4 linked regions of the Danio rerio genome follow. The protein of the gene in region 4 purifies or fractionates together with the protein of the main gene of each other region. This does not show direct contact. Links are inferred from orthologs where the notes say so. Each region holds a gene or a part of one and is shown on either strand. Other genes may lie near its edges. The genes, in order: anapc1, sav1, amotl2a and lats2.

Evidence for each region.
Region 1: the proteins of lats2 (region 4) and anapc1 purify together in Homo sapiens (affinity purification with mass spectrometry; 3 studies listed by BioGRID and IntAct, with this or other methods). This does not show direct contact. The link is inferred for Danio rerio from reciprocal best matches to the Homo sapiens genes LATS2 and ANAPC1.
Region 2: the proteins of lats2 (region 4) and sav1 purify together in Homo sapiens (affinity purification with western blotting; 4 studies listed by BioGRID, with this or other methods). This does not show direct contact. The link is inferred for Danio rerio from reciprocal best matches to the Homo sapiens genes LATS2 and SAV1.
Region 3: the proteins of lats2 (region 4) and amotl2a purify together in Homo sapiens (affinity purification with western blotting; 3 studies listed by BioGRID). This does not show direct contact. The link is inferred for Danio rerio from reciprocal best matches to the Homo sapiens genes LATS2 and AMOTL2.

What each region holds. Positions count from the first base shown.
Region 1 is NC_133188.1:50,865,448-50,872,887, forward strand, and holds the end of anapc1 (anaphase-promoting complex subunit 1), read left to right. Parts: intron 1-3,633; coding exon 3,634-3,746; 3' UTR 3,747-3,981; downstream 3,982-7,440. UniProt on the Homo sapiens protein: Component of the anaphase promoting complex/cyclosome (APC/C), a cell cycle-regulated E3 ubiquitin ligase that controls progression through mitosis and the G1 phase of the cell cycle.
Region 2 is NC_133188.1:40,259,847-40,268,327, reverse strand, and holds the start of sav1 (protein salvador homolog 1), read left to right. Parts: upstream 1-3,901; 5' UTR 3,902-4,225; coding exon 4,226-4,319; intron 4,320-6,316; coding exon 6,317-6,781; intron 6,782-8,481. UniProt on the Homo sapiens protein: Regulator of STK3/MST2 and STK4/MST1 in the Hippo signaling pathway which plays a pivotal role in organ size control and tumor suppression by restricting proliferation and promoting apoptosis.
Region 3 is NC_133181.1:30,492,880-30,500,648, reverse strand, and holds the end of amotl2a (angiomotin-like 2a), read right to left. Parts: coding exon 7,534-7,769; intron 7,446-7,533; coding exon 7,253-7,445; intron 5,633-7,252; coding exon 5,488-5,632; intron 5,394-5,487; coding exon 5,307-5,393; intron 3,866-5,306; coding exon 3,570-3,865; intron 3,489-3,569; coding exon 3,289-3,488; intron 3,190-3,288; coding exon 3,088-3,189; intron 2,974-3,087; coding exon 2,807-2,973; intron 2,356-2,806; coding exon 2,176-2,355; intron 1,877-2,175; coding exon 1,806-1,876; 3' UTR 54-1,805; downstream 1-53. UniProt on the Homo sapiens protein: Regulates the translocation of phosphorylated SRC to peripheral cell-matrix adhesion sites. Required for proper architecture of actin filaments.
Region 4 is NC_133184.1:22,912,291-22,920,267, forward strand, and holds the end of lats2 (serine/threonine-protein kinase LATS2), read left to right. Parts: coding exon 1-397; intron 398-550; coding exon 551-1,133; intron 1,134-1,239; coding exon 1,240-1,422; intron 1,423-1,534; coding exon 1,535-1,641; intron 1,642-1,902; coding exon 1,903-2,433; 3' UTR 2,434-5,679; downstream 5,680-7,977. UniProt on the Homo sapiens protein: Negative regulator of YAP1 in the Hippo signaling pathway that plays a pivotal role in organ size control and tumor suppression by restricting proliferation and promoting apoptosis.

The sequences.
Region 1 (7,440 bases), on a different chromosome or scaffold from region 4:
GTTTTTTTGGAGCAACTTGTGTATCATTTCTGATCTGTATGTTGGGAAATATTTCGCAGAAAGCTTTCTTGATCTTTTATCTCTTCAAAGACTTGTTGACATCAAAACTAAAACAAGCACTGTATTAGTAACCACACCAGCATACGCTGATTATGTTTTATACTCTGCAAAATTTTGCCGTTTTTTCCTTTAAACACTTTACTAATACTTTAAATAATTTACTTTGAAAGTAATTCAACCATATATTTCAATTTTGAGCTTTTAACAGCAAATATGTATGCTTTACAAACAACTGCACTCTGTTAGCATTCTATTCCTTACACTTAAACTATGAACGTAAAAGTTAGGAAAGGTTTAAGTGAACTACAAGTATTCTAATGACATTACTCTCATGAGGCAAAAAATGCAAATTACATGACTTGCACAAGCACTTTTCCACATGTGCACATTTGAGTGTACGATTAAACACTAGCCTCTAGAACACTTAAGACTAGAGCGCCTTATACCAACTTATAGCATCATCTGCTGTTAAAAACTAGCCTACTGTGCCATCGGCTGTTAACAACTAGCCTAGAGCGTCATCTGCTGTTTAAAAACTTGCCTAGAGCACCATTGTCTGTTAACAACTAGCCTAGAGGATCATCTGCTGTTTAAAAACTAGCCTAGAGTGCCATCTGCTGTTTAAAAACTAGCCTAGAGCGCAATCTGCTGTTTAAAAACTAGACTACAGCACCATCGGCTGTTAACAACTAGCCTAGAGCGTCATCTGCCGTTTAAAAACTTGCCTAGAGCGACATCGGCTGTTTACAACTAGTCTAGAGCGTCATCTGCTGTTTAAAAACTTGCCTAGAGCGCCATTGTCTGTTAACAACTAGCCTAGAGGATCATCTGCTGTTTAAAAACTTGACTAGAGCGCCATTGTCTGTTAAAAACTAGCGTAGAGAATCATCTGCTGTTTAAAAACTAGCCTAGAGCGCCATCTGCTGTTTAAAAACTAGCCTAGAGCGCAATCTGCTGTTTAAAAACTAGACTACAGCACCATCGGCTGTTAACAACTAGCCTAGAGCGTCATCTGCTTTTTAAAAACTTGCCTAGAGCGACATCGTCTGTTAACAACTAGCCTAGAGGATCATCTGCTGTTTAAAAACTAGCCTAGAGTGCCATCTGCTGTTTAAAAACTAGCCTAGAGCGCAATCTGCTGTTTAAAAACTAGACTACAGCACCATCGGCTGTTAACAACTAGCCTAGAGCGTCATCTGCCGTTTAAAAACTTGCCTAGAGCGACATCGGCTGTTTACAACTAGTCTAGAGCGTCATCTGCTGTTTAAAAACTTGCCTAGAGCGCCATTGTCTGTTAACAACTAGCCTAGAGGATCATCTGCTGTTTAAAAACTTGACTAGAGCGCCATTGTCTGTTAAAAACTAGCGTAGAGAATCATCTGCTGTTTAAAAACTAGCCTAGAGCGCCATCTGCTGTTTAAAAACTAGCCTAGAGCGCAATCTGCTGTTTAAAAACTAGACTACAGCACCATCGGCTGTTAACAACTAGCCTAGAGCGTCATCTGCTTTTTAAAAACTTGCCTAGAGCGACATCGTCTGTTAACAACTAGCCTAGAGCATCATCTGCTGTTTAAAAATTAGCCTAGAGCGCCATCTGCTGTTTAAAAACTAGCCTAGAGCGCCATCTGCTGTTTAAAAACTAGCCTAGAGCGTCATCTGCTTTTTAAAAACTAGCCTAAAGCATCATCTGCTGTTTAATAACTGGCCTAAAGCGCCATCTGCTGTTTAAAAACTAGCCTAGAGCGCCATCTGCTGTTTAAAAACTAGCCTAGAGCGTCATCTGCTTTTTAAAAACTAGCCTAAAGCATCATCTGCTGTTTAATAACTGGCCTAAAGCGCCATCTGCTGTTTAAAACTAGCCTAGAGCATCATCTGCTGTTTGAAACTAGCCTAAAGCGCCATCTGCTGTTAAAACTGGCCTAGAGCGTCTTCTGTTGTTAAAAACTAGCCTAGAGCGTCATCTGCTGTTTAAAAACTAGCCTAGAGCGCCATCTGCTGTTTAAAAACTAGCGTAGAGCGCATTCTGCTGTTTAAAAACTAGCCTAGAAGCCGTTTGCTGTTTAAAAACTAGCCTAGAGCGTTGTCTGCTGTTTAAAAACTAGCCTAAAGCGTCATCTGCCATTTAAAAACTAGCCTAGAGCGCCATCTGCTGTTAAAAAACTAGCCTAGAGCGTTGTCTGCTGTTTAAAAACTAGCCTAGAGCGTCACCTGCTGTTTAAAAACTCGCCTAGAGCATCATCTGCTGTTTAAAAACTAGCTTAGAGCGTCATATGCTGTTAAAAGCTAGCCTAGAGCGTCATCTGCCATTTAAAAAAATCTAGCCTAGAGCAGCATCTGCCATTTAAAAACAGCCTAGTGTTGTCTGCTGTTAAAACTAGCCTAGCGTGTACCATCTGTTGTTAAAATCTAGCCTCGAGCACTGTTTGCTGTTAAACACTAGCCAAGAGTGCCGTCTGCTGATTAAAAACTAGCCTAGAGGCCATTGGATGTTAAAAAAAAACTAGCTTAGAGCATTTAAAAACTAGCATAGAGCATTATCTGCTGTTAAAATAAACTAGCCTAGAGCACTATCTGCTATTAAAAACTAGCTTAGAGCACTTGCAAACAAGCCTAGAATGACATATGCTGGTAAAAAAAACTTGCCTAGAGCACATCTCTTTTGGTAAAACAAACCTAGATTGCCATCTGCTGTTAAAAACTAACCTATATTGCTATTAAAACTAGCTTAGAGCAACATCTGCTGTTTAAACTAGCCTAGAGTGATGTCCGCTATTAAAACTAGCCCAGAACAATGTCTGCTATTAAAAACAAGCCTAGAACGACGTCTGTTATTAAAACTAGCCTAGAGCGACATCTGCTGTTAAATTAGCGTAATCGTCTGCTGTTTAAACTAGCCTAGAGCGACGTCCGCTATTAAAACTAGCCTATAGCGACGTCTGCTGTTTAAACTAGCCTAGAGAGCTGTCTGCTATTAAAACTAACCTAGAGCAACGTCTGCTGTTTAAAGTAGCCCTAGTGCACCCTCTGTTGATAAAAATAGCCTAGATAGACGTCTGCTGTTAAAAACTAGCCTAGATAGACGTCTGCTGTTAAAAACCAGCCTAGAGCATCGTCTGCTGTTTAAAACTAACCTAGAGTGACGTCTGCTGTTTAAACTAGCCCTAAAGCTTTGTCTGCTATTACAACTAGCCTAGAGCAACGTCTGCGGTTTAAACTAGCCTAGAGTGATGTCCGCTATTAAAACTAGCCTAGAGCACCGTCTGCTATTAAAAACAAGCCTAGAGCGGCATCCGCTGTTAAAAACTAGCCTAGACGCCGTCTGCTGTTAAAAATTAGCCTAGAGTGCCATCTGTTGATAAAACTAGCCTAGATAGACGCCTGCTGTTAAAAACTAGCCTCGAGCATTGTCTGCTGTTAAAAACTAGCCTAGAGCGCCATCTGCTGTTAAAAAAACAGCCTAGATCCATCGATTCAAGGTACAATATTGATGAATTTAGATCAGTTTCTCGAACGCTGGTTATCGTCTCCATTGTTAACATGCAATAACATTATATTTCTGCTCATTGTGTTTAGGATGTTCCAGTTTTCCAGAGCTGCTCCTCAAGAGCAGTCAGTTGGGTGTTCCCATTCGAGCTCTTCTACGATTGAGTCCTTTACTCCTGCAAAATCACGACTCTGGCGTTTAACCGCACTCCTTCCGACCACTTCATCTCCTCGAGCAGGTACTGCAGGGTCATCACTGTCCTCAAAAACCATCAACTTACAGGAACTTGCTACAGCATCTTACATCAACTTTTTATTGCATGAAGTTGTTATGACATCGATGAGATCGGATGCTCACAGGTTTGCTCACCCCTATGTAAATAGCTTGTAACTATTTGTACCTACGATAATTCAGTCAATAAATATGACTTGAGGAAATGGTTTTGATAAAGTGTACCTTGTGTGGTTTGGGTTTGTCAGTTTTGAGGGGGAATTTTAGTGGCAGCCAAATTTAGGGGCTTTTTTTACACATGCAATATCTGTTAAATTGGATCAGGTTTAAATGCTGAAAGGTTTCATATTGTGTCACTTTGTGTAGCAATTCACTCTGACAAGCACCAGGAAATCAGCCATTCTCATCTTAAAAAGTGTACTGTATGGCTTCCAGGCGCTTCATTACTGCATTTGTGTGTGTTTGTGAGATCTGCACTTTATCATTCATCATATTTTGATCAAATCTTTAGGGGTTCGATTAAATCAGGCTAGTCAGTCACGATGAATAATTTTGTTGTGCAATATATTGTTACAGAAATTATTGTCACTGATTATGCAATGATTATGCAAAATCATAATAATGCTAAAAGGCAAAAACACTTTAAGTTGAGCAAAAATGTTCATTCTTAAAGGTACACTGCACTTTTTTTAGGGAAACTAGGCTTATTTTACAGCTCCTCAGGACAATTTTATCCTTTTTTGATTCATTCACCCGATCTTCAGCTCTGGTGGGAGCACTTTTAGCTTAGCTTAGCATAGATCATATAATCGGATTAGACCATTTGCATCTTGCTCAAAAATTAGCAAGGAGTTTTGATAATTTTCCTATTTAAAGCTTGACTTCTGTAGTTTCAACGTATACTAAACTGATGGAAAACGTAAAGTTGCTATTTTCTAGGTTGATATGTCTAGAAACTATACTCTGATTCTAGCGTAATCATTATCAAATTTTGTTGCTGTACTATGACTGCAGCAGGCACAATAATACTGCGTCCGCTGCTTTTTCTTCATTATTAGGTACAGTTGAAGTCAGAATTATTAGCAACCCTGCTTATTTTTTTTCTCAAATTACTGTTTAACGGAGAGAAGATATTTTCAACACATTTCTAAACATAACAGTTTTAATAACTCATTTCTAATAACTGATTTGTTTTATCTTCACCATGATGACAGTAAATAATATTTGACTAGATATTTTTAAGACACTTCTATACAGCTTAAAGTGACATTTAAAGGCTTAACTAGGTTAATTGGGTTAAGTAGGCAGGTTAGGGTAATCAGGCAAGTTATTGTATAATGATGGTTTGTTCTGTAGACAAATAAATATATAGCTTAAATGGGCAAATCTTTTTGACCTAAAAATGGTTTTAAAAAATGTAAAACTGCTGATATTCTAGCCAAAATAAAACAAACAAGATTTTCTCCAGAAGAAAAAAATATTATCAGACATACTGTGTGCTCCGGTTTCCCCTTACAAGTCCAAAGACATGCGCTATAGGCATACATGTAAACCCTCCCGTTTTTCCCCGGATTCTCCCATATTTTACAGTTCTATTTTGCTATCATCCTGTAAAGGTATTATCCCGTATTTCTCCCATATTTTCATTGTTTCTCTGAAGAGTGGCAAGAAACATTAAAGAGGCGTGCCTCCCTATAAGCAACCCATACCGCCACACCACCAAGGGCCGCCCTTTGCTCCTAAATGTGAGCCTGTTCTGTTGTTTCACTTTGTTTAGGCAAGAAAACACTTTGAAAATCATATAAAAACGGCGCGATTCCCCTTCCTTTTCACTACAGGTGCCGTCCCCCTCCTATGCAATCTTCAAAACAGTCGTATAGCGGTGCGTGACTGTCAGCTGACGCGCTCCATAGTGATAAATAGACGCTGTTTCCCAAACGGATTCTGCACACGCGATTTGAAGCGGAGCGAAAGTCTGGATTTTGGGTGCGTGTTTAAACAGGCATATACACATATTTAATATTAATATCTAAAGATGTCGATCTTGGTGTTTTTTTTTTTTTAAACAACTAATTTAGTCCTAAATGAGCATAAAAAGCAGTCGAATGCCTTCATTATATCGTTAGATGTGTGCATTTTTAAAGTGACACCTGTTATTTAATGTAATCAATCTAAAAAATCTAAATAAACGAGAGATTCATTTGTTGCTCTTTAATCATAATGTGTAAGTTATACAGTGGAGAAAAGGCTAATGAGATTTAATAGCTTGATTCTATGTCATTATAACAGCTATCTATCTTAATAAGCTGAACTGTTTGCTAATGTATTTGCCTCTAATGTATATATTTATTTTTTCTTTTGTAAATAATAATAATAATAAAACATATTACTGACCATTTACTGTTTACTTGCAATGAAACAGCTCCAAATGAGCATATTTAGTCATTTGGGGATTTATATAGGAGCTTATTATGGTGGGCATATCCCTTATTTTCACATCCCAATGTTGACAGGTTTGGCTATAGGTGAATTGAAAAAACTAAATTAATCGTAGTGTATGAGTGTGAATAAGAGTGCATGGGTGTTTCCCAGTGTTGGGTTGCAGCTGGAAGGGCATCCGCTGCGTAAAACATACATTATGCTGTCTAAGTTAGCAGTTCATTCTGCGGCGGCAACCACTGGTTAATAAAGAGACCAAGCCGAAAAGAAAATGAATGAATGTTATTTAGAGCATTTCTTATACAAATATACAAACAAAAATCCAAACTTTTCAGACATCCAAATTAATTTTTGATAACACAATGGAAAATGTTTAATTTTTAAAAGGCGTTTATAGAAGAAATAATGATGGAATAACTGATTTTCAATAACAATTTGTTATTCTGACTAACAAAAATATTACTTTAAAATTTGTTAAAAATGTTCGTAGGCCTAAATAAATTAAAATTTTAGCAATTGACTCAAATCTATATCCAATAAATGCACTTAATCCAGATATTTATATAGGTATCCTGGGGTTTTCAGGCTGACCTCTTTTGAAAAAGCCTGTAAACACACCTGCAGAACACCTGGGCATCATGCTGGCAGGATTTGCATGGGCATCCACCTTTGTATTTCCATCAGGAAATGTAAGAGTCTAGTTTGCATACGTCTGCTAGTCTTCCACACTGCTCTCCAGTATTTACAGTGGCTCAGCAAAACAAGCATTGCATGAGCATTCCTGTATAAATGAAAACCACCCCACACTTACCCAGCACACACCCGCTCACATTCCACTGTATTTGAATAGCCACGTCGCTCGCTAAAATAGATTGTGCTTTGAATACTGCTTTCAGTTACTGTGCAGCTATTTCACTCAACTAAACCACACTGAAGTGAAAGTTTAAAAACGTGAAGTGATACAAGCTTCACGTTTTTGCACCATATGTTTGAAGAGGTTTATGAATGATTCTGTGTTCTCCTAATAGAGTTCTTCACCTAAAAATGAAAGCTATTTTGCAATTTTTAGCTTTTTCCCCTAAATAAATGAGAAAAACACATAAAACCTTTACATATATGGTTTGATCCTTAAGAGAACACTCCATTTCTTTGTAAATAAGCTTGTTTTACAGCTCCTCTAGAGCTGAACTGTTGTATGTTATAATTTTTGGATTCATTCAGTTGAT
Region 2 (8,481 bases), on a different chromosome or scaffold from region 4:
GGTTTTGACTGAAGAAATGACATCGCAGAACATCCCATCACATATCACGTCCTTATGGGGTCGTCTTCTGAGATCTGCACTGTGTAGTTACTATTGAAACAGCTATAAAGGAAAGTGCTGTCATGAAATGCAGTACTTTTCAACCTTGATGGAACTAACTGAAAATAACATGTTTTAAATTGAATCAGAGAAACAAAACTGATAGGACCGAAGAATTTGTTGCTCGTTTGGAAACTTGATTTGTAATTTGAGTTTAGCGAGCAGTTTCAAGATTTCAGGATCTGTTTTAGATTTGACTTGCTTTTGGATTAACTACATGGAGTTGCTGCAAATATGTTGACTTGTTAAAACAGACTTTGAGACTTTTGCGTGACTACCATGTATCTGTGTAGAAAATCATATATCACCCATATAGTAAACGTTTGATTCCTATTAGAATGAGTGGATTTCACCTGTGAAATACTAATGTGTAAATATGACTGCACATGATTAGGTCATCCTAATGTTCATCTGAAGGACATATTTATAAGAATGTCCAATCTGCTCTTTATAAAACACAAGAATTCGGTGACCAGGGTGTTGTTAAGCTCCAAAAATGCATGTATTTAAATGAACTGTGCACTATATGGTATTTACAAAGTCTTTGAAGCCATATAAAAGCTTTGTGTAATGAACAGATTGAAATTTGTGTTCCTGAGATTTTCCCATTCGTTTTTTATTTCTGACTGAACAATGTTTGCTTTTATAGTACTTTTGAAGTTGGCATGGAATGAATGTTGTCTGTATGTTAATGAAAAGAGCTTTTCCAACAAGAAAAATGGATTGGCTTGTTGGTTTGCTGTTGCTGAAATCCAATTTTTAATTCCCAATTTGTTGTCATTACAAAAATACTGCAATGTTTCATTAAAAAAGGATGGTTGCGAATGGTTCATTTTAATTTGATGGCAACTTTAATAATATTTCCGTTGTTTCTGGACTTCAGTTTGCAGTTGGAAGGTCATCTTAAGTGATGGTGAAATTCCTTAAACCCAGAGAGGCTTGTCCAACAGCTGAGGCCCCAGCATTCTCTCTCTCACACACACACATGCCTATCGCCACATAGTTTTCAATGTAATGCAAACAAGGTCAGTGATTCCCTGCTTCTCAGAGAAGGAAATTAAAGGGCAAGTGCCACACTGTTTATTCACTGTTTATTCCTGTTTGTTATAGTGCATTCTGTCTTTGGGCTTGTTTAGTCAATATAAATGTTTTTTCGCTTGAGAATCTGCACCAGAAAACATCCCATGACATGACTTTAAGTGCAGGAGATCTTTGTGTTCCTATTTTTCATATTTGAACCATAATCGTGTGTGATGAGCACTGTGAATATGAATAATAGCGGGTGTATTCAAATATTTATGCGGAGTAAAAGAAACCTTGAGATCGGAGACGTCAGCCTCATGGTTACCGCTGTATAATTTGTGTGCGGAGAGGAAAATTGCTGGTTATGATGTTTCATTTCAGGCGTCTCTCAGCGAGTGCAGTTTACCAGCTTTGATGCTTGGAGGGGAAAATGTACAAAGAATTACAGGCATTTAAAAATGTCGAAATTGCACTGAAATATGTTGTCCTTACATTTTTAGCATTGTAACAAAGCCTTTGGTGAAGCTTAAACTATATATGCTTTACAGTATTTGTCATGTAAATGATGTATTGTTTTAAGTGTTGATTGTATGACATTTGAATGTTGAAGCATAATTGTTTTTATCTTCATTAAAGAATAGTTTTAGTAAGCACCGTACATGAGTTTTCATTTTAGAATTCATTGGTAACACTTTAAAATAAAGGTCCATTTGTTAGTCAATGTATTTACTAACATGAACAAACAATTCAATACATTTATTACTGTATTTATTCATCTTGGTCAATTAATGTTTTACAAATTAAATAACGTTAGTTCATGTTAACTAACTAATGTTAACAAGCACCACGTTGGATTTTATTAATGTATTAGTTAATGTGCTTAATAAATGCTGTACAAGATTATTCATACCTAATTACAGTAAATATATTAACTAATGGACCGTTATTATAAAGTGTTACCAAGTTACTCTTTTGAAAAAAGCACCAATTAAACACTAAAAGTGCATGATACTTCTGAGTTGCTTCTTTATTTATGTGAACATGTGTTTACTAAATTACTAATTTCTCTAGCATTGTTTTATGTTTATATAAATATATATATTCATTCATTCATTCGTTTTCTTTTCGGCTTAGTCCCTTTATTAATCTGGGGTCGCCACAGCGGAATGAACTGCCAACTTATTCTGCATATGTTTTGCGCAGTGGATGCCCTTCCTGCTGCAACCCATCACTGGGAAACATCCATACACACCCATTCACTACGAACAGTACAGCTTACCCAATTCACCTGTACCATGTCTTTGGACTTGTGGGGGAAACCGGAGCACCCAGAGGAAACCCACGCAAACACAGGGACAACATGCAAACTCTACACAGAAAAGCCAACTGACCTAGCCAGGATTCAAACCACCGACTTTCTTGCTGAGGCGATTGTGCTACCCACTGCAACACCGTGCTGCCTATATAAATATATAGAGATCTTTTAAAAATATATATGTTAGGATTTATTAGTTTGTGTTTGAGTAAAATGCTAATATTTTATTCTGTAAGATACATTTGACATTTATTCCAAAGTTAAAATAAATAAATATTTATTTGTGTAGGCCTATTTGATAACGTAAAAATGTAAATCAACTAAAAATTACTTTGCCAGTATTACAAATGTGTTAATTTGCTGTTAATTAAAATCAGAGTTATTCTATCAAATATGTTTTGAGATTAAAACTTTGGTATTTAAAAATGAATATTTAAAATATATATATTTAAAAATTCTCTAAATTATATTTATTCCCTTTACTTCTGCTTAGTCCTTTTAATTATCAAGGTTTGCCACAGCAGAATGAACCGCCAACTTATCCAGCAAATGTTACGCAGCGGATGCCCTTCCAGCCGCAAATCAGCTCTTGGAAACACCCATACACTCACATTTACACTGATACACTACAGCCATTATTCAATTCACCTGTACCGCATGTTTTTGGACGGTGAGGGAAACCGGAGCACCTGGAGGTAACCCACGCCAACACGGGGAGAACATACAAACTCCACACAGAAATGCCAACTGGCCCAGAGCTCAAACCAGCAACCTTTTTACTGTGAGGCGACAAAGCTAACCACTGAGCCACCGTGAAGCCCATTATAAATAACATTTTAAATTTAAAAATAAAAAGTAATCAGGTTCCAAAATAAACAAATAGTGTGTTTTACTCAAACACGTAAATGGTAAATACAGAGACACTGGGCTTGGCCATGGGGTCACTTGATTTCTCTGAAGGTTTCTCAAAAAATGTTTGTTCAAAAAAGAAAATTCATTCATTTGTGGGGTTTTAGGTCCTATTTTGTACATTTATCTGACAACGCAGCACTTTTATCCTTCAAATTAACCTTACATGTTAAATAAACCATCGCATATCTGTCCTGTAAACCTTAAATATGTGCTAGAAAAAAAGTTCGAGTCAAATATTTCCCACAATGCTTTGCTCCCTGAGGATCTGGCTTGCGGCAGATCTGATCTAGGATCAGGGTAAGGTGAGGGAGCGATCCAGAGAGAGTTGATCTAGGATCAGGCGGTTAAAGACACTTATGGGCGCGGGTAAACTGGTATTATTGAAATATGTGGACTCTTTTAGAGTGACTAATAAACATTACTGAATCCGACTATAAAGTATGCTGATCTGAAGTGAGGCTCGGGTCTAAACAACTGACCTGAGATCAGGCTGCGGCGCGAGATCCAGTAAGAGCTGATCAGGGATCAGCAGGAGATGTGGAGGGCTGGGTTGGGTTGGACATTCAGCTGGTAAAAGTTTTCGTGCGCTTTTCTCTGGGTGTTGTTTGGACAGCGCTCGGGGGAGACTAACGTTATTTAATCGTCGGAAAGAGTTCGTAATGTTCGACTAAACACCGAAAACTGCCAAACGTCCACTAAACGCAAACGAATGGCCAGTTTTGTGCTTGTTTTCAGACTGTAGCCATGATGACTCCAAATTAGCTATCGGGCTAAACGCTCCGAAATGGACTCGGTTTCGCGTGTCAGTGCCAACCTGGATCCGGATTTCAGGATGAAACCGAAGTCTAATCGGTCCAGAGTCGATTCGGATTAACAATGCTCTCCAGAAAGAAGAGTAAAAACGAAGCGTCCAAACCACCCGAAGTTCAGGGCAAATATGTGAAGAAAGAAACGTCCCCTCTTCTGAGAAGTGAGTAATTTTAGTCAATCTGCCAAACAAATCCCCAAAATATAAAAATGGCAAACTAAATATCCTACATTGTTATATAATGTAGTCATTACACCGTGTTTGAAATCAGAACCCTGAGAGTAAAACACAATTTTAAGTGCATAAGGCTTTCAATAAGTAACATAATTCTCTTTAACAATTAGCCAGCACAATGTGTACAGTCACAACTATCAACCTAATAGACCTGTATTATTATAGTCCTGTTTATACGTTTTGAATTAATCAAAAGATAATGTGGCATTGCTCATATTTAATACTTTAATCTAAAACCATTTTCACTTACCACTAGCATATGTTGTCATTAGTTTAAAATGTCATATCTTTTTATTTACTTTAAATACAAAGGTCCAGAAGTAGAATGTTGTTGCTTTAACGTTACCCAGTTTAAGAAAATTATTCTTTAAAGAACACCTTAATATTTTGCTAATAATTATTTTTAAACTGACTGAAATTTCGGAAATCTTCACACAGCAGTAACACAGTATATTATTAAACATAATTGTTCAATATGGTAATACTGTCATTGTATTTGTTGCCAAATTTCGGATCAAATTGTCAAAACGGCATAATTGAATGGCATCAAAAGAGAGACTAATTCATCAGTCAGTAATCAAAACAGCAAGATGTTAACAAATGTGTTTTGTAGAAATCAGACTATCTTCAATTTTATGTTTTATCTTGAAATGTGTTTAAAGTGATGTTTAGAAGACATGGAAAATAATTGTAGTTTAGAAAATCTATATGCTTAAAAATTGTCTTGTATGTTTGTTTAGTATCTTATTCTAGACATTTTTAGTGTAATATTATAAACCTATATCGGAAATTTAAAGGTATAGCTTTTATGTTACTCTCAGGCCACTTGATGATCTTTAAGTAGACTTTATTTCTTCAGGAAAACATTAAAGAAGATTTTTAGCTGAAAATCATAAAATGCTAATAAAAGGTCCACCATCACTTTGAGAATAAAAAAATAAAAAAAACAATATACAGACAAAATAAAATTAATACCTTTGGCTTCTGACGATACACTGATATCTTACTGTATGAAGCTGAAATAATCTCCTAGTGCAAGAAACTGAACATTATTTAAATGTTTTTAATCCACACAAAGGAAGATATTTAAAAGAATGTCAGGAAAAAATTGGAAAAGTAAACATAATGGGTGTAAATATGCTACGAGATCTGTTTAGTTACTGACATTCTTCCAAATACATTCATTTGCAGACCTGTCGCCAGCCTATTGAAACGAGTGGTACTTTTTAATGAAAATTTGACCTTTTTTGCAGTTATTTTCCTCATTTTCTATTCAATTATGCGTTTTAGTGACTTTTTAAGAACTAATCTTTGCTGGATCAGCTTGATGGATGGTAATCATAACCACACTATTTTGATGCACAAAAAAATATTTACTACAATTTTGTCCAAAGTGCCCACCATAGTATTTTACTACGAAGTGTTTATTTACAAGCTTGGATATAAATTGTAAGTTAATCCAGTTTTATAAATAGTGTTATGAGATTAGTGTTTAACATACAAATTTATTATCATCCATCATTAAAAAAATAGGAATCTGGTAAAACTTGTTTTAAAATAAAAACTATAGCCTGTGGGCAAATAAATACTTTATTAAAATAAATACTTTATTAAAATTATTTAAGTCTTAAAGACTTCTTCTGTGTATAATTTTCACAATTTATGATAACATAGCAGTGAAAATGGGATAAATTAGCTCATTTGGGGGTCAAATTTTGGACTTTGTCAGTAGCAGGTTTGTCTTTTGAACCACCCAAACCCCCCTTGGCTACAGGCCTGATTTGTGTTCAGGAAAACAAAGATTTTCATATGGGATTGGACAAATGATGAGTAATAATGACAGATGTTTTATTTTAGAGTGAACTATCCCTTAAAGTATGCATTGATCCACTTACTCCAGGTTTCCCCCCATTGTTTGTTCTCAGATTTGATGCCCTCATTTATCCGCCATCCAACGTTCCTTCGACGCGAACCTCCATTAGTGGAGCCGGTTTCGGCTGGTGTGCCTGGTCCCGGTCCCGGTCCGTACACCACTGGATCTGTTGGAGATGTTAGCGGCCCTAAGAGTTTCCTGCGCAATGCTCCTCCACGGACCCCGCTAGAGGTTTCACGCAGAGAGAGTCACCGTCTGTCTGCCCCGCCACATCTTCATCGTGATTACTCCCCTTCCTCACCATCCTACATCAGCGATGCCAGTTCTGTAACAGAGAACGGAGACAACGGCCCGTATTACTATCCTCCAGAACCATACTACAATAACCAACCCAGACGAGCACGCAGACCAGACCACTTTAATGAGAACTACAGATACTATGACCACAATGAACTCAACTTCCCACGAAACCCAGGACAGCCCCAGACGCCTCAGCCACACAGCCGCCCTCCACCTGGTGAGTTACTTTTGAACTGGTGTGCATTTACACATCACATGCACAGACTTGCACGCATTATAATAGACTCTGCATGGAGTAACAAACATGATTGTCACTCTTTACTATAAATACACTGACGTTTGCTGTGTTTACGAGAACATTTGCTGTTTACTGGATGAGATTCTTCAGGTTCCTCTGACTGAACATAGATTCACTTTCTTTTTCAGCCGAATAATATAAAAAAAGAGGGATTTTATGTAAAATTGGTGGCTCAGTGGAAACACTGTCACCTCACAGCAAGAAGGTTGCTGGTTTGAATCCTAGCTGGGCCAGTTGGCATTTCTGTGTAGAGTTTGCATGTTCTCCTTGTGTTTGCGTGGGTTTCCTCCACGTGCTCCAGTTTCCCCCGAAGTCCAATCGGTGTGTAAATGTGAGTGTGTATGGGTGTTTCCCAAGTTGCAGTTGAAAGGAAATCCGCTGCGTAAAATATATGCCAGAAAAGTTGGTGGTTCATTCCGCTCAGGTGACCCCTGATAAATAAGGGACTAAGATGATGGAAAATGAATGAATGAATGAATGAATATACAGTTCAAGTCAGAATTATTAGCCCCCTGAATTATTAGCCCCCTGTTTATTTTTTTCCCCAATTTCTGTTTAACGCAGAGATGTTTTCAACACATTTCTAAACACAATAGTTTTAATAACTAATTTCTAATAATTGATTTATTTTATTTCTGCCATGATGACTATAAATAATATTTTACTAGATATTTTTCAGGACACTTCTATACAGCTTAAAGTTATATTTAAAGGCTTAACTAGGTTAATTAGGCAGGTTAGAGTAATTAGGCAAGTTATTGTATAACAATGGTTTGTTCTTTAGACTATCAAAAAAAATTGCTTCAAGGGGCTAATAATTTTGACCCTCAAAATGGCTTTTTAAAAATTAAAAACTGCTTTTATTCTTGCCGAAATAAAGCAAATAAGACTTCCTCCAGAAGAAAAAATATTATCAAACATATTTTCAAAATGTCCTTGCTCTGTTAAACATAATTTGGAAAATATTTAAAAAGTAAAGAAAATTCAAAGAGGGGCTAATAATTCTGACTTCAACTGAATGTAAAAGTTTAGAGATTGTTTCTGTTAAATATATTGCATTCTCTTGTTTTTTTTTAAATAACATAATAAGATGACATTTGATCAGATTACTTCTTTTCTTCAGGAAAATGTTAATGAAGATTTGTTTTTGAAACATTTGTGCTTTTAGTAATTCATAAAATGCAATTCAGTGGCTACCAGCATTTTGGGAGTCAAACAAACCATATACAGGTTCAACAAAATAATAACTGTGGCTTCTGACAATACGTTGATGTCTTATAAAGCCAAAATGGTTTGCCAGTGCAAGAATCCACATAAAGGAAGATATTTGAGAGAATGTCAGCAACAAATTGGGGGAACAAATACAATAGGAGTTAGAGCTGCACAATTAACCAAAAAAGATAGCTCTCTATTGATAGATCTTTATTCGACCCTACACCCGATCTTAATTAAGCTTTTTTACAATTTAGCCAATCATATTTTCATGGTCAGGACAGAAGTATAAAAGTGGTCGCACAAGTCTTCACATTGTTGTATATACATTGCTCAGCAACATTGACACCTCCAAATGGTGTTAAAATTGTCACATACAGTATTTATAAGGTATATTTCACCCAAAA
Region 3 (7,769 bases), on a different chromosome or scaffold from region 4:
AAAAGGACATAAATGTGTCTTTTCAGATAAGATACAAACCAGTCGACACGTTGTTTTTGTAAAGATATATATTAAGGTTTTATTCAAATTACTGAAATGTTAATGACATACAAAACAATTCCCCATTCTTGAAGTTCACAGCAACATCCAAATATGGGTCAACCAGTTTGAACTGCGTATCTACATTTCACGTCGCTAATGCTCATACTTTTATTGTATAACTTAAAATGTAATGCAAATCTTTGGCATGTTCACATTACTAAATACCAAAAAAGTAAAACAATATACAAAATATATTAAATTCTCTCGTTTCAAAACAGCCCTTTCTGTAAACAGTCCAAGTAGTGAACAAAACAAACATGACTTCAGTACAAAGCCTTGACCAGCAAGTGCTATGCATCGAAGGCAATAGGAAAATCAAAGTAGCATTTCATGATACTGAAGAAAGGTTAAATTAACATGGTTTGATACTTATTACGCACACAGATAAGACTGACTCGTTATATGGTAACCATTTATACCATTATCCCACTATAAACCCACGCATTTGTAGTCTTGGTTTCGAACAAATGTTTTAGACAGGCAGAAATGTCTCTGCCTCCAAAATGAAGGCTAGTTGCAGTTGCTACAGTGGAGATCCTTTAAGTCATAAAATGCTAACAGTAGAACCAGCTACTGCGGCACTATGGAAATAAACAGATCCAAAAAGAGGATGGTAGTCTGAATGCCAACCGTTTTGAACAAGGCCAAGGGTCAGACTGCAGATAGCCTTTTTCCTTAGAGCAGGGGCATTCCACAATGGAGGAATGTGGGAAGATTAGCTCCGGCTTGTCTGCAAGGGAGTGGCAAGTGTGATGGTTGCAGTTCTGGGTGCAAAATAATAATAATGTGGCATGTGAAACATCAGCCCCTGTCTCTCCTAAGGGTAATACTTCCCCTAAAAGAGTCGCTAAAAGAGTACGTACCCTTCCACCGTCCCTGAAAGGAGGCTTTCCATACCACTATTTAAATCAGGGGGTGAAAAGCACCCACAGTCAGTCCGTTATAGCAAGAACACCAACTGTAATGATAATTCGGTCAATGGGAGTGCTGGTGAAGGTATTTACCAAACTATTCTGGTAGATTTTTTAATCCCAGGCCTCCCGGTTGAAACTGTATTTGGCCTCCTACAATCCAAACTATTCTATTCTTGATATTTAAGGATGAAGCAGTTGCAATGGCATACCTACTATACATGGAGCGTGTAAAGTTAGAGATATATTCGTCTGTGCTTTTTATCTAGGAATGTGGGATATAGTCTTACATGGGTTGGTATACTTAACTGGTAAAAAAAGAACACTGCCCTTGGTTGTTTTTCAAAGGAACGCAAATGCACAAGTTTCACAATAGTGGGATATTTCGTCCTATTACTCCATTCTGCACACTTTACAAACTAAATGTCACACAATCAGCAGCAAAACTCATAAATACAATATAACATAAACATATACAATGTGTTTATAAGCACTTAAGTTTTGTGGTAGCTTTAGAGTAGAGTACTGTCCAAGTACCTCACATTCAGACCATACATCCACAGTCTAGGTTCAGTCACCAGCTGTCAAGGGGAGCTCAGCTCTCCTTCACCAAAGATCCACCATTCATTCTTCTCACATCCTGATGCACAAACTCAAAATCAGCTTCAATGGCGAGTTCCCTATTGAACCAAGCACAGCTTCTCTTGATTAGGTTGGTCCTCAGATGGAGACCCAAGAAGAATCTTCTGTGCCTGAGAGCAGCAGGCAGCAACATGCTGGACATTGTTAATCTCAGATGAGGATCTCCACCATGTCATTTTCGACGGCACTGCTGATCTGGGTTGTCTTGAGAGAGGTTGATTCTGTAATATAATGTAAGACTGTCAGCTTTCTTTGTTCATGCCTGAACAGCAAACAAGGTGGGAAGCTATACAAAACATAAACTATGTTTTGTTTGAGTCCTCTCCCCAACCGCTATTTTGACATAGTGTTTCAAGTTACACTTTAACTACTCTGGTTCAAAAGGGCAAGTATGCACCATCATTATAAAAGTTCTAACCATCAAGGGTTGTCTTTGTCACATGATATGCATAATAGATTTGCCAAGTTATGGGTCTACCAAATAATGTGGGATGAGTGAAAATGGCATGAGCTTACACACCAGAGCTAGAAGCAGTGGAAGGTTCTGGAGCAGATACAGCAACATCAGCAGGTTCTGCTTTACAGCTGGGCTCTTCTGAATCACACTGTGTGCTGCTGTCTCGACACTGGATTTTGGCAAGCAGATGGGGCAATGGGGGCAAAGATGCGACTGCTGTCTGGTCATCTGATAGGCTCTTCCCTGAAATTGCAGATAGAAAAGGAAGCAGTTTAATTACATGTTCCAATATAGGCATGCCGCCATGCAAACATTTGCCATCCAGAAAACTCCCTTTACTATTATTGTGAATCTATTCTTGAGGACAGGAATACCAAAATGCATTCCATTTCACAAGAAGTAGACTATTTCAAGAACACCAGCTAGTCACAGCACTCATTTTATTTTGGTTGGCACATTCCTCCTTGGCGACATTACATAGCCACTAAGAAAAGAAGCTTCCAGTTGTCCAGCTGAAAGTGTATGTCACAGAAGTGCAGCGTTGGCTCACAGTTTTCAGTCTTGCTCTTTAAATACAATCCTAATTAAACACACCTGAACCAGTTAATTCTGGTCCAGATAGGCTGAAGCCAAGCTGTGCAGGACTTCCAGTGGCAGGTCTGTACATCACCTGGCCCGTAACTACTTTGCTCACCTTTGGCTCGGGTGGTGCTAGCTGTGGCAACGGTGTTGATGGAGGGAACAGATCGAGCAGGTCGTAAGCCTTGTAACTCAGGTCGGCCTTGCTCTCGTCTTGACCGCTGCTGCATGACCTTTATAATGGCATCCTTCTCCAAGAGTTGAGCATAAAGTGCCCGAATCCTGTTAAAACATGGACTACTTTGAGATACAAAACATCAAAACTATAGGAAACTAATTTTTCTAGCAAATACAGACTTTCTAGAATAGGATAGAGAATGTAAATGGTGGACATACCGGTTTTCCATCTCCTGATGCCTGTGGTTGGGGGACGGCAAATCCTCATTGAAGCTGCTGTTGGGTGAATTGCGGGGTGAATGGTTGATGATTGTGGTATCCCTGGAAAGAGAATTATGGTTGATGCAAGAGTTGAGCAATAAATTAAAAAGAGTACTATTTTTTGACTATGGCATCTCTTCCACTTGTGCTTTTACTCACCTCTGAGCTGCGGCAGTAGCAGCAGCATCCATGGCAAACTGACGCATTGTGCTCTCCTCAAGATACTTCTGCTCCCAGCGGGTGATGTCAGCCTCCAGGGCCAAAACCTGCTCCTCTCTCTCCCTCAGTTGCTGCTGTAGTGATGATACATTAAGGTCCAAGTATGACCCTGGGCTTGCATGCTGGGTTTTGGCCTGCCACTGAAAGAGAAATAGTGGTTTACTTTTCAATCCCAAATTGTTGATTCTTATTGAACAGAAGTTGTCTGTTTTTTCTTTTACCTGCTGTGCTCTCAAACTCTTCAGCTCCTGCTCCAGTCTGGTCCTAAGTCGTAACTCCAGAGCTTCCCTCTTCTCACATGCTGCCTGCAATTGCGCCAATGCACTCTGCATCCTTTCCACCTTCTCCACATAAGCTCTCTTCCTACGTAACTCTTCTTCCAGCTGCCTATTTCGTGTCTGAGCTGTGATAAGTGCTTGCTCCAAGGCTTCACGACGCCTCTTCCATTCTTCTCCTGAAGCCCTTAGATGCTGTGTCTCTTTTTCCAGACGTTCCCGCTCTCGAAGATGGTCCTCATCTATGGAAAAAAAAAAAGAGACACACAAAATGAGAACCATGTACCATGACAACTTACTACAGTAAAGGTACAAGAACATTCAATGCTATTCAGTCATTATGCTTCTCACACAGGCCACAAAATGAATGACCATGCAGTAGGACTGGGGTGTGCCCATAGCATTCTCTGGGCTGTTCTCTCATTCTAACCAATTCTCAAGGGATAAGCTTCCCACAAGAGTCTGGAACAAAAGAGGCATGCTTGATTTACACACGTCTGTCTGGGTTTGCAGGGGAGTGGCCAAGTTTCCCTGTGTCCTTTGACCTACACTGCAGACTGCTTTAGAATTCCCAGATTACAAAAGCGATTCACTGAATTCCCATTTGGGATGCCAAATTCCTCAAACCCTTTAAGATGACTTGGCACACTGAAAAGGACATACTAAAATCCAACTCATAATTAGACAGGAATCAGTTTTCCATTCTCCTTCTGCTCTGATTATACAACCCAAAACAAATGCCACTGGATGGAATGCAGGCTTCCACTTATCCACTTACACACACAGGCAAGTCTTTGTACCAACTGGATCTCTGGAATGCCTCTGAGCCATGCAGTAAACAAGTAAAGCAAATAGCTGCAAAAGGTCATTAAGCGTAACGTTAACCTACACGTTGTTCTAAGCCTTCAGAGATGCTGAATCATGTCTTTGACGTATCTATGTGTTAGCTCAAAAGGAAATTTTAAACACCTTACAATATCACTGTTTTTTATTCACAAAGCAAAGATATGCCTTGACTCAGACTTTTCTGTTTTTTTGTTTTTAACCCCAGACTGGGGGTAGATTAAAATCATACTTCTTTCCTTGGGGGAACAACAGTCATTTTATTAGAATCCAACCAAATACTGAACAACAACAATCCCTATTAGGATTAGCAAAACAAATCCAGTTTACTCTAACACAGATTGGAATTCTTTAGCATTAATTTGCCCAAAAATGGAGAGACAGCGCACAGGGCACCAGAAAAGGGTCTCTATGGCCTCAGTGGCTGAAATAGTGGGGGAGCTGTTAGGAAGCATTCCAGGAGGACGGAATATCCCAAAATACCTGTAAATATTCCAGGAATCCAGGTCATATTTATTTACAGTGTTAATAATGGTTGCGGGTCAAATTCCAAAAGCAACTATATCAGATGAAGAATATAGAATGTGCTTAACCAGGTACTGGACCCTACATTACATAGACTTTTTAAATACATTTATTTATTTATGTTGCCTAAATACAACAAAGCACTCTGTCAAGAAACATTTCAATGATGAACACATTATTAATTATTAATGGAATGCATCGTTAAGCCAACAATATAAATATGAAAGAATGCAGTGGGAACAGCTGGGATTGTTTCATGGTTGACCGCACATTGGGAGAAGGATAATTTATAGAGAAGCAAAGGGGAATTCTTACTTTGCTCAACCAGTTTGGCGAAGGCATGCCGACTCTTGTCTTCAACTTCAATGGCTGCTCTCTGTTTGTTGGCTGTTTCCAGGCGGTCTAATGAGGGAGTCAACAATTAGTATTTATTGCCTCATACCAAAACATGCAACTCATTTATAAGACAATTACTCAGCTATGCGAACCATCTTACCCCTGAGATCTCTGTTAAAGTCATGAAGTCGCTTGATCTCACTCTCTAGCTTGTTCCTCATGGTTTTCTCAAGGGCTTCTCTCTTTGCAGATCCCTTCATAAGAGTCTCATAGGCCTCCGATATCCTCTGAATCTCCTGTTCAAGCTGAAAGAGAGAAGAAAGGCATGTTAACATCCAATTTATACCCATCAGTTCCTGGTCTCTTTTAACAGGAGATTCACAGGAGGTTGGAAATACTCCTAAGAATATAATTTAGTGTCAAGCAGAAGAACTAACAGGATACAGATTTTCAACAACATGAGGGCAAGTATAAGACACTTTTTCTTTTTCGGCTGGCACAGTAGTGTTTCATAAACCCAAACGTAATAAAACAAGGAGCCGCAAGAGCAAGAATGGAAAAAAATACAAACAAAAATTTGAGATAAAAAGGGAAGGAGGGAAGAATGTGCTTGGCTGGGGCTCTCTGTGGTGCTTGCCCACTAGTGAATCACTCTCACAGAGCTCCTCAGGGACTGGGAATTGAATCAACATTCCAAAAAGAACACTTATGAGTCCCAGGTGTCCGCACATTCATCTCCCTACAGGGCAGGATGCCAAAGGCGAATACAGGGAACAAAGGAAATGTGCAAGCTGGAGGAATACCATTCAGAGAGACTGGAACAGTCCACAATATATGCACCTGTATGACATTTATGACATGGAAAATGGGATGAGAAAGCGATCGTCCAAAAGGAACAAAATTTTCCAAATAAACAAATATGGAAGCTTACAAAACCCCACCACTGATTTATTTTTATAATTTCTTCCCTTTTCTGGATTTTATTTTTAACTTAAAAACTACATATATGCAACCTACATGTGTAGGTTCACAAGCAGGTCAAAAGGTGCCGTGTGGAGCTCTGTTCAAGAGTGAAAGTGAAAGGGGCCATTGAATCAGGGAATCCACAGCTGTGAGACCTTGTGATTGCGCTTTGCAGCCCAGTCCATCAGCTGTGGGCTAGCCAAAGCCCCTTCTTCATTCTCGGACACGAAGATGAGCCAAGACATCTGCTCCTATTGGAATCCCATTGGAATCCTAACAAAGAGGGCCACAGGAAAAACCCAGCGAGGCCCCCTTCCCCTTTAAAGTTGACTGGGATTTCAAATTTGGTAGTTTGTATGATAGTGGCTTAATGTTCATGAATCAGTGTTTTAGGATAGAATATTTTAAGAACATAGTTTTTAATCCAAGCACCATGTATGGACTGAATTCCACTGAAACTCAATCTAGCTTTTGCCACTGAACGACACACAATAGGCCCAATAAACTTTAGCAAAACAAACACCAAGATAAGCTTGTTTTTCCCCCTTGCTCTGCCATAACACTTTGGTATTTCAGTGATGACATTATCACATTACAGAAAAATGCATGGCATTTTAGGCATGGGTAAATTCAGTGTTGTTTCGCATGCTAAATAAGTTACTGGGAATTTTCACTCAGTGACCAAGAATGTGTCCTTTTCAAATTAAATTGAAGTCCTTGTGATCCTCTCCCTTGCATGCATTCCTACACGGCAAGAGAGCTAATCTTCTTAGAATGCAGAGGCTAGAAGACACCAGCGCACAATGATTTCTTGTTCTCACTCTTTGTAGGTCATGTCTGAGTTCACAATCAAAGGACACAGCTGCCTTTTTGCATCCTTGGCAAAATGTGAGGTCATACCAAAAACATCACAGTTCTAGAAGGTTGCAAGGAAGTTGCAATCACACAAAGAATCCTGTTACCTTCTGTAACCTTGCCGCCTTCTCACTGTAGCTGTCCACTTCTCTTTTCAGTCTTTCGTTCTCTTTAATAAGCTGCTCCATTTGGAAGTTGTTCGCTGGGATGCTGTATCCTCCAACATTGACATCCTGGCCAGCAGGGGTCAATGTGGGCAGGCCATTGTGACGAGGTGCTTGTGGCTGTGTTGGAAATAGCCTGAGAGAGACAAAAATAAACATTAGAACACCCATGATGTTCATATAGAGTGTACAGTATATACAATGCGACCAAAATATAATTTTACCTGTAATGCTGTGAATGGAAGGCAGGAGGGGGCTCATTATAATAGTGTCCATGTTCCTGTGAATGACTAAGCATATATCCAGGGGATCTGACCATGAAGGGGTACTCCGGGGGAGGACCCCGTTGGTCTGGCTGATGAACTGACTGCTCATTCACAACTGAATCAGAGTGGTTATTAGAGAGTTGGGGATAACTATGCGATGAGCTCATGGGAATATTGTCATGGGCACAATTTCT
Region 4 (7,977 bases):
ATGCCCACCTCCACCTTACCCCAAAACACTGCTTGTGTCTGGATCTGGACCTGAGCCTGCATCCTTAGAGCCTGTAGCCATGAGTGGACTTCAAGATGTCAGTGCCACAGGTAGGACTATCCAGAGTTCCTCGGTAGGAAAGCAGGAGGAATCCATCTTCAAAGACAAAGTGAAAATGGGCAAAGGAGAAAAGGCTGTGAAGGATAAGAAGCAGATCCAGACATCACCTGTGCCTGTACGAAAAAATGCCCGTGATGAAGAGAAGAGGGAGTCTCGTATTAAGAGTTATTCTCCATTTGCCTTTAAGTTCTACATGGAGCAACATGTGGAGAATGTGATGAAGACATACCAGCAGAAACTTAATCGCAGAATGCAGCTGGAGCAAGAGATGTCCAAGGTAAGCTATGCTGGAACTGTTTATCACAAAGAACACCGTTTACTTTATAATTTGTATAATTGAGTTGTTAACTCTTTGAGTTATCCATAAAAGGGTATATTTTTTGTTTGTTTTCAACTGAGTCCCCTCTAACAATCTCTTTCATTATTTTAGGCTGGCCTTTCAGAGGCTGAGCAGGAACAGATGAGAAAGATGCTTTACCAGAAGGAATCCAATTACAATCGACTACGACGTGCCAAGATGGACAAATCAATGTTTGTCAAAATCAAGACACTCGGCATTGGGGCCTTTGGTGAGGTGTGTCTAACCCGAAAAGTAGACACAGGAGCCTTGTATGCAATGAAGACTTTGCGAAAGAAAGACGTTCTTAACCGAAATCAAGTAGCCCATGTTAAAGCTGAACGGGACATTTTAGCAGAGGCTGACAATGAGTGGGTAGTCAGGTTGTACTATTCATTTCAAGACCGAGACAATCTGTATTTTGTCATGGATTACATTCCTGGAGGAGATATGATGAGCTTGCTGATCCGTATGGGAGTTTTTCCAGAGGTCTTAGCCAGGTTTTATGTGGCAGAACTGACACTGGCAATTGAGAGTGTGCATAAGATGGGTTTCATCCACAGAGATATCAAGCCAGACAATATCCTCATTGACCTGGATGGACACATCAAACTGACTGATTTTGGTCTATGTACGGGGTTCCGATGGACTCACAACTCAAAGTATTACCAAAAAGGTAAGAGAAGGTGATGCTTATAGCCTTTAAAAAGTCCTTAATGCTGTTGCAGTGTTTATTAAATCCAATGAATTGGTTGCCTTCTCTCTTTGCACTGCTTGAATAGGGAACCATATCCGACAGGATAGCATGGAGCCAAGTGACTTTTGGGATGATGTGTCTAATTGCCGTTGTGGTGACCGGCTGATGACTTTGGAACAGAGAGCAACTCGACAACACCAGCGCTGCCTGGCGCATTCTTTGGTGGGCACCCCTAACTACATTGCCCCTGAGGTGCTTTTGCGCAAAGGTAAGAATATTCACATAGTCACTCGGAAGTACAAGGACATTACAAAGAATTGCTAGTGCCTATAGAACCTTTTTCTTTTTAATTGCTCCTTTTAATTAATTTTAATACACAGGATACACACAGCTGTGCGACTGGTGGAGTGTGGGAGTGATCCTGTTTGAGATGCTGGTTGGCCAACCACCCTTTCTTGCTCCAACCCCAACAGAGACGCAGCTTAAGGTAAGAGTTCTGTATGCATGTTTTTAGTTGATCCTGCTCCTGGAGGGCAAGTATCATACAGAGTTCCAACCAACCCCAACATACTTGGAAATTTCTAGTAATCCTGAAAACTTGAATAGGTGATTCAATTAGGCAAGACAGTGCCCATGCAGGAAAAAGGACTGCACATCTTTGTTTTCTTTAAATAATATTTTATAATATTTGAGGTTAAGAGTTTTGATGACAAGAAATAAACTTTTGTTGATGTCACTACCTCTACAGGTGATAAACTGGGAGAACACTTTGCAAGTGCCACCACAAGTAAAACTAAGCCCAGAGGCAGTCGATATTATTGGCCAGCTTTGCTGCTCTGCTGAAGAGCGTCTAGGAGGCAATGGGGCTGGAGAAATAAAGGCTCATCCTTTTTTTTCCGAGGTGGATTTCTCCAGCAATCTTCGGACACAACCTGCACCATATCGACCAAAAATTGCCCACCCCATGGATACATCCAACTTTGATCCTGTTGAAGAGGAGGGAGGCCCAGGCGCCTGGAGTGATAGTGGGGATAGCACCCGCACTTGGGACACCCTCTGTTCTCCTCACGGCAAACACCCTGAACATGCCTTCTATGAGTTTACTTTCCGAAGATTTTTTGATGATAATGGTTGTCCATTCCGTTATCCCAAACCCCTAGAGGCGACACAAAGCCTGTCCAGCAGTGACGGGGCCGGCAGCCTGAAGCCTGAGCTGGAGGAGGAAGAGGCCCATGAAGAGGAAGAGCAAGGGGAAGGGTGTGAGCCGGTTTATGTGTGAAAACGTTGGATTGGTTGTTCATGCTGCTCTGCCTTTACCCATGGAGGACCTCACCAGTTAACACGCTGCATCTTCTCTACTTCCTTTCAACACTATTTTTTCTTCAGGGTGTTGCCTGAAATGCTTGGAAGAACATCAGAAATTTAGTGCAGAAAGTTCCAAGTAAAATGTGTTTATTCCCATAAACCATTATGCAGTATCATTTAAAAATGACTGAAGCTCTGACCTGGGACCAAGGAAATACACAAGACCTGCAGCTGCATATGGACGTTGATGTGACTGATACTCTTCTATGAGAGCACAAAAACAGAGATGTGTAGCTGTTGGTCTGTGGTTTGACGTTTAAACCACTCTACTCATGGTTAGTGTGTTGTGTGTCAACCGTGTCCTATTCTTTTATTCCACTGGGAGAAAGAGTCCCAGTCTTACGTCATATGTTAACACATCCCTCACCTCTCTCAACCTGGTGATGCTAACATTCCAAACACCCGAGAGTTTATGGTGAAGGATTACAAGAGTGCTTGGCTTGGGATGGTAGCTCTGTGGTTTATTTTTAAAAGTTCATAATACCAAACTGAATTTTATAGCTATAAATCCATAAATGTGCTGTAAAACCTATTTTTTTCTGCGGTATTGAAGCCAGATTTGGAATTATATGATCTCAGTCTTTTTTTAAAGCGAGCAAACTTTGTTTTAGAGGATTTTGTGGCGCCACCAAGTGGTTCAGAGTGACATTGTCAAGTGTCTTCTTTTCGAAGATGTAAGTCCTATATTATGGACTGACAGTATTAGGTCACTTCTTCATGCAAAGTCTGTCCAAAAGACCATGCAGGATTTTGCAGTTAATAATTAATAATGACAATAAATTATTAATTAATTAATAAAATAGTCTTTTGTAAATATAATACAGTTATCCTTCATTTATGTTTCATGCCTAACGGTGCTCTCAGTCATGACACAATATTAAAATAAAATGTTTTGATGTACAGGCAGCACTTCATGGACATGGGATCTTAAAACTCCCATTATTACAATTATTAAAGGTTTTTAAAACATACTTCAATTGTCTAAACAACCGCCTGTTACTTGAGAGCTGAGGCTAAGCATAAGTATAGTCATTAAATACATAATGCCACAAAAAAACGGATATGATATGAAAATATCATTCACAATATGAAAATGTAAGAGGTAATTAACACTCTTAAATTGTGAATATTAAAAGGCCTAAATCCTGCTTAATGTTTGCTTACCAGTTGCATTGCAGTTTTAAAATTAGTTATTTTTGCTTAGTTGTGTTATATCAGTTGCTGTTTCATTCAGGTGGTATTTAAATTCAACAAGCATTTACCTTGCCTGGCTTGATTTAAATAGTTTCATTGTTTTAAGGCTTAATGATTTCGTTCCCAATAGCTGCTTACATTCATCAGCTGCTTGCGTGTGTATCTAACACTTGCAAGACACATCGTTTTGTTTTGAAGTGTGTTTTCTCAGACCGCTGCAGTTGGCTATCCGGAACAAATTATATAAATTAACTCCAAGAGCTGAGGCTACAGCTATATCCTTTTCTAGTTATGCAAAAAGATTATACGCCTTTCATCACAAGTAACTCTGTTTTTTTATCTCAGAAAATGTATCATATTTCCCACCTCATCTTAATTGCATTTAGTTTCATAAGAAGATCTTAAAAGTCAGACGGGTGGTTTTGTTGTGTGTGTTCTTGCTTATCCAGATCCACTGGAAATGATCTTGTCTGTCACTATCAGTGAACTTATTTTATTATACACACACACACACTCACAAATGTAATCAAACAATTGCAAGATGTTTTGTCATCAAGGCTGCTCACACAGCACAGTATTACAACAAGACAGTCTATGACTGAAATGTAAAAAATACTTTGAGGCAAAAACTTTAACGAAAATGGTGAAAGATAGTTACAAAAGAAAAATGTATCTGATGGTATAACTATGTGCAATACAGAAATACATTATATAGTTTTCTAAATACAACAAATAGCCTTTATAACTTCAAAACTGAATTATGCTATCTAAAAGTATATATTCTATTGATTTATATCTATTTTCAATATAGTTTCATGACCCAATGCTGCTTATTGTTATTAATATTACACTATATTATCATCAACCTTTCAATTATACTTTCTCTTTGTGTAAAAAGTGTGGTTTTGATTGTCAGTGTGATTGATCCGATGTAAGACGAACTGTGTGCCTTCTAATGAATGTGTGGGTGTGTTTACCACGTGCTGATCAGTATTTCTGGAAAGAATGGAAATGCCGTCATTTCTTGCACTCAGGCCGGTCCTGAACGTAAGAGGCGGCATTTGGATGATAGCTGGAGAAAGACGAAAAAAAGAGTGAATGATTGTCATTGAGACTCTGAAGGAGATGTATTTGGATGTCGTAGCATGGTGGATATGGAAACACATTGTATGTGATTGGTCAGTGATAAGGATCCCTAATAAGTCCATATAATAATGTTTAATCATTTGTAGTGAAGCTTGATTGAAGTCAGTCAAACTACCCTGTATGACGTCTGACTGGATGAGTTTTAAAGTAACAGCCAGTGATGATCCGCTTTTATATATTGCTCACTCCTAAAAGTCACATAAATTCCTAAAAATATATTCAATTCAGACTTGTACCTAAATTGTCATCATGTTTTTGGTTCAATCAGAGTAGAATGGAGTGTGACAGCAAGTGTTGCAGATGCTTTGCTTCCCTGTATTTGTCAGATTGGACCACTCAGTGAAAAGGCATGAGCTTTCTACGAATCTCTCACAGAGTCAGGTTTAGGGTTTGAATGTAATGCGTGTGTTGTGCTGAGGATGGATTCTTTGTTTTACTTTTGAAAATGTTGACTGACAATCTTTGACTGTGTTTGGAGCTGTGTGATGATGGAACTTTTTTCCTCTAATGTATGTTTTTGTATTTTAAGGAATGAATGGGTTGGGACTTTTTGACGTAACCTTTAACTGTATTATACAATACTGTTACTATTGAACATATTTATACAGATATACATATTTTTTGTATTCTTTTATCCTTATTTTTCCTCTTTTCTGAGCTAACTTTTGAACCCTTGTGTCTACAGTATTACAGACAGTATGCATTTGGATTTATCTCATTTTTTTACACATATGTATGAATTGAGAATGTTTAAGAAATGCTTTTGCTGTCTTCATGTGTAAATGTATATGTCTAAATTAAATTAAACAAATCATTCTCTTGTTTTGAGTCTGTGTGTGTGAGTGTGTGCATGCGGGTGAGCGTGTGCACGTCTCTGTCTGTTTGTGTGTAGATGTGTTTGGGACACACCCAAGATATTTTTAGCTGATGAGACACACACAAGAGCATTTTTTAATTAAACCATTTATTTCCACCATTAACCTTTTCACAAAAAATATACCTTTTTCAGATTGAAGAGCGCATGTGCATGCACACTCACTGGCCCCTTTATTAGGTACACCTTTCCAACTGCTTGTAACACAAATTTCTAATCAGCCAATCACATGGCGGGCACTCAGTGTAGGTCAGAGGAGAATGGCAACAGTAACTCAAATAACCACTAGTTACAACTGAGGTACACAAAAGAGCATCTCTTAATGCACAACATGTCCACCCTTGAGGCAAACGGGCTATAGCAGCAGAAGACCACACCGGGCGACTCCCTTGTCAGCTAAGAACAGGAAACTGAGGCTATAATTGGCACAGGCTCACCAAAATTAGACAATAGAAGATTTGAGAAACGTTGCCTGGTTTGGTAAGTCTTGATTTCTGCTGCGACATTCAGATGGTTGGGTCAGAATTTTGCATCAACAACATAAAAGCATGGATCCATCTTGTATCAATGGCTGGTGGTGGTGGTGTAATGGTGTGGGGGATATTTTCTTGGCACACTTTGGGCCCATTAGTACCAATTGAGCATGTTATAAAGCGTGAATCATCTCAGACTGGTTTCTTGACTGGCCTCCACAGTCAACAGAACTCAATCCAATAGAGCACCTTTGGGATGTGTTGAAAAAGGAGATTAGCATCCTGGATGAGCAGCCGACAAATGTCAATATCATGTCAATATGGACCAAAATATCTGAGGAATATTTCCAGTACCTTGTTAAATTTATGCCATGAAGGATTAAGGCAGTTCTGAAGGTAAAAGGGAGTCCAACCTGGTACTATGGTGTACTTAATAAAGTGGCCGGTGAGTATATACTAAGTACATTCTTCTTTACACATTCACAGATGGTTTAATACAGTGAGTAATACAGTTTTGGAATCTGATTATAACCTTTTATTATTATTATGTATTTTAAAGATTGTATTTATGTCTTATACGAGTGACAATGATCAAAATAGTGAGTAACATGTCTACAGTCAGATTTGTTATTAAATAAGATCCCCGTTTTAGTAATGCTAAAACTATGTTGAATTATGACTTAAATTATGACTTCCAAAAGTTACAGATAACACCAAGAATGAAACACATTTATGAAAATGAACTCTGTATACAGGCCCGTAGCCAGCCTATTGAAAGGGGTACTTCTTTTTTTTCTGAAAAAGTGGACCTTTTTTGCAGCTATTTGCCTCATTTTCTATTCAATTGTGCATTTTACTCACATTTTAAGAACTAATCTTTGCAGGATCAGCATGTCGTGTGGTGATCAAAGTGCTCACCACCATACTATTTTACAATGAAGTATTTATTTACAAACTTGGATTTAAACTGTAAGTTAATGCAGTTTTTAGATATTCTTACGAAATTAGAATTAAATTTAAAAAAAAAATACTTATTTTTAAATAAATATATATTATAAATCATCATCTAAAAAAATAGGAATCTGGTAAAACTTGTTTTAAAATAAAATTGTAGCCTATGGGCAATTAAAAAATGGCAAGCTTATTAAACTTTTCTCAATCAGAATTTGGCCACTTAATTACAATTATATTTGTCTTAAAGCCTTCTTTTATCTATAATTTTCACAATTTATGATGGCATAGCAGTCAAATATGGAATAAATGAGCTCATATAGGGGTCAAATTCTAGACTTTGTCAGTGAAGGGGTGGGTCTTTCCAACCCCCTGAACCCCCCTGGCTATGAGCCTGGTATAGTAATAGTAAAAGTGTAGTAACCAATATATTTGAATGAACAGTTTTACTACAAATACCATGTTTAAACTATAACAAGTCTAAAAAAAACAAACTGAATTTATGGTGTCAACAATAGCTTAATGTTTTAGTAGTTTGAGAAACTCTTTTAAAGGCCAAGCGTTTCTATTAATTTATCTGTTGCATAAAGTGCACCTGCTCACTAAACTATTTATTTTGGGAGGAATAAATGCCAAATCTAATAAGCAAGGTAAGTGGCCGCTTATAGCCCCAGGAAATCTAGAGCCCCCAAATAAATACCTAGAATTATACGTATAAATTATATAAAACATCAATTTCTATCATATTTTGTATAATGAGGGTCTAAAGCCTAAAAAGGGGTGGCCAAACTAGGTCCTGGAGGGCCAGTGTCCTGCAAAG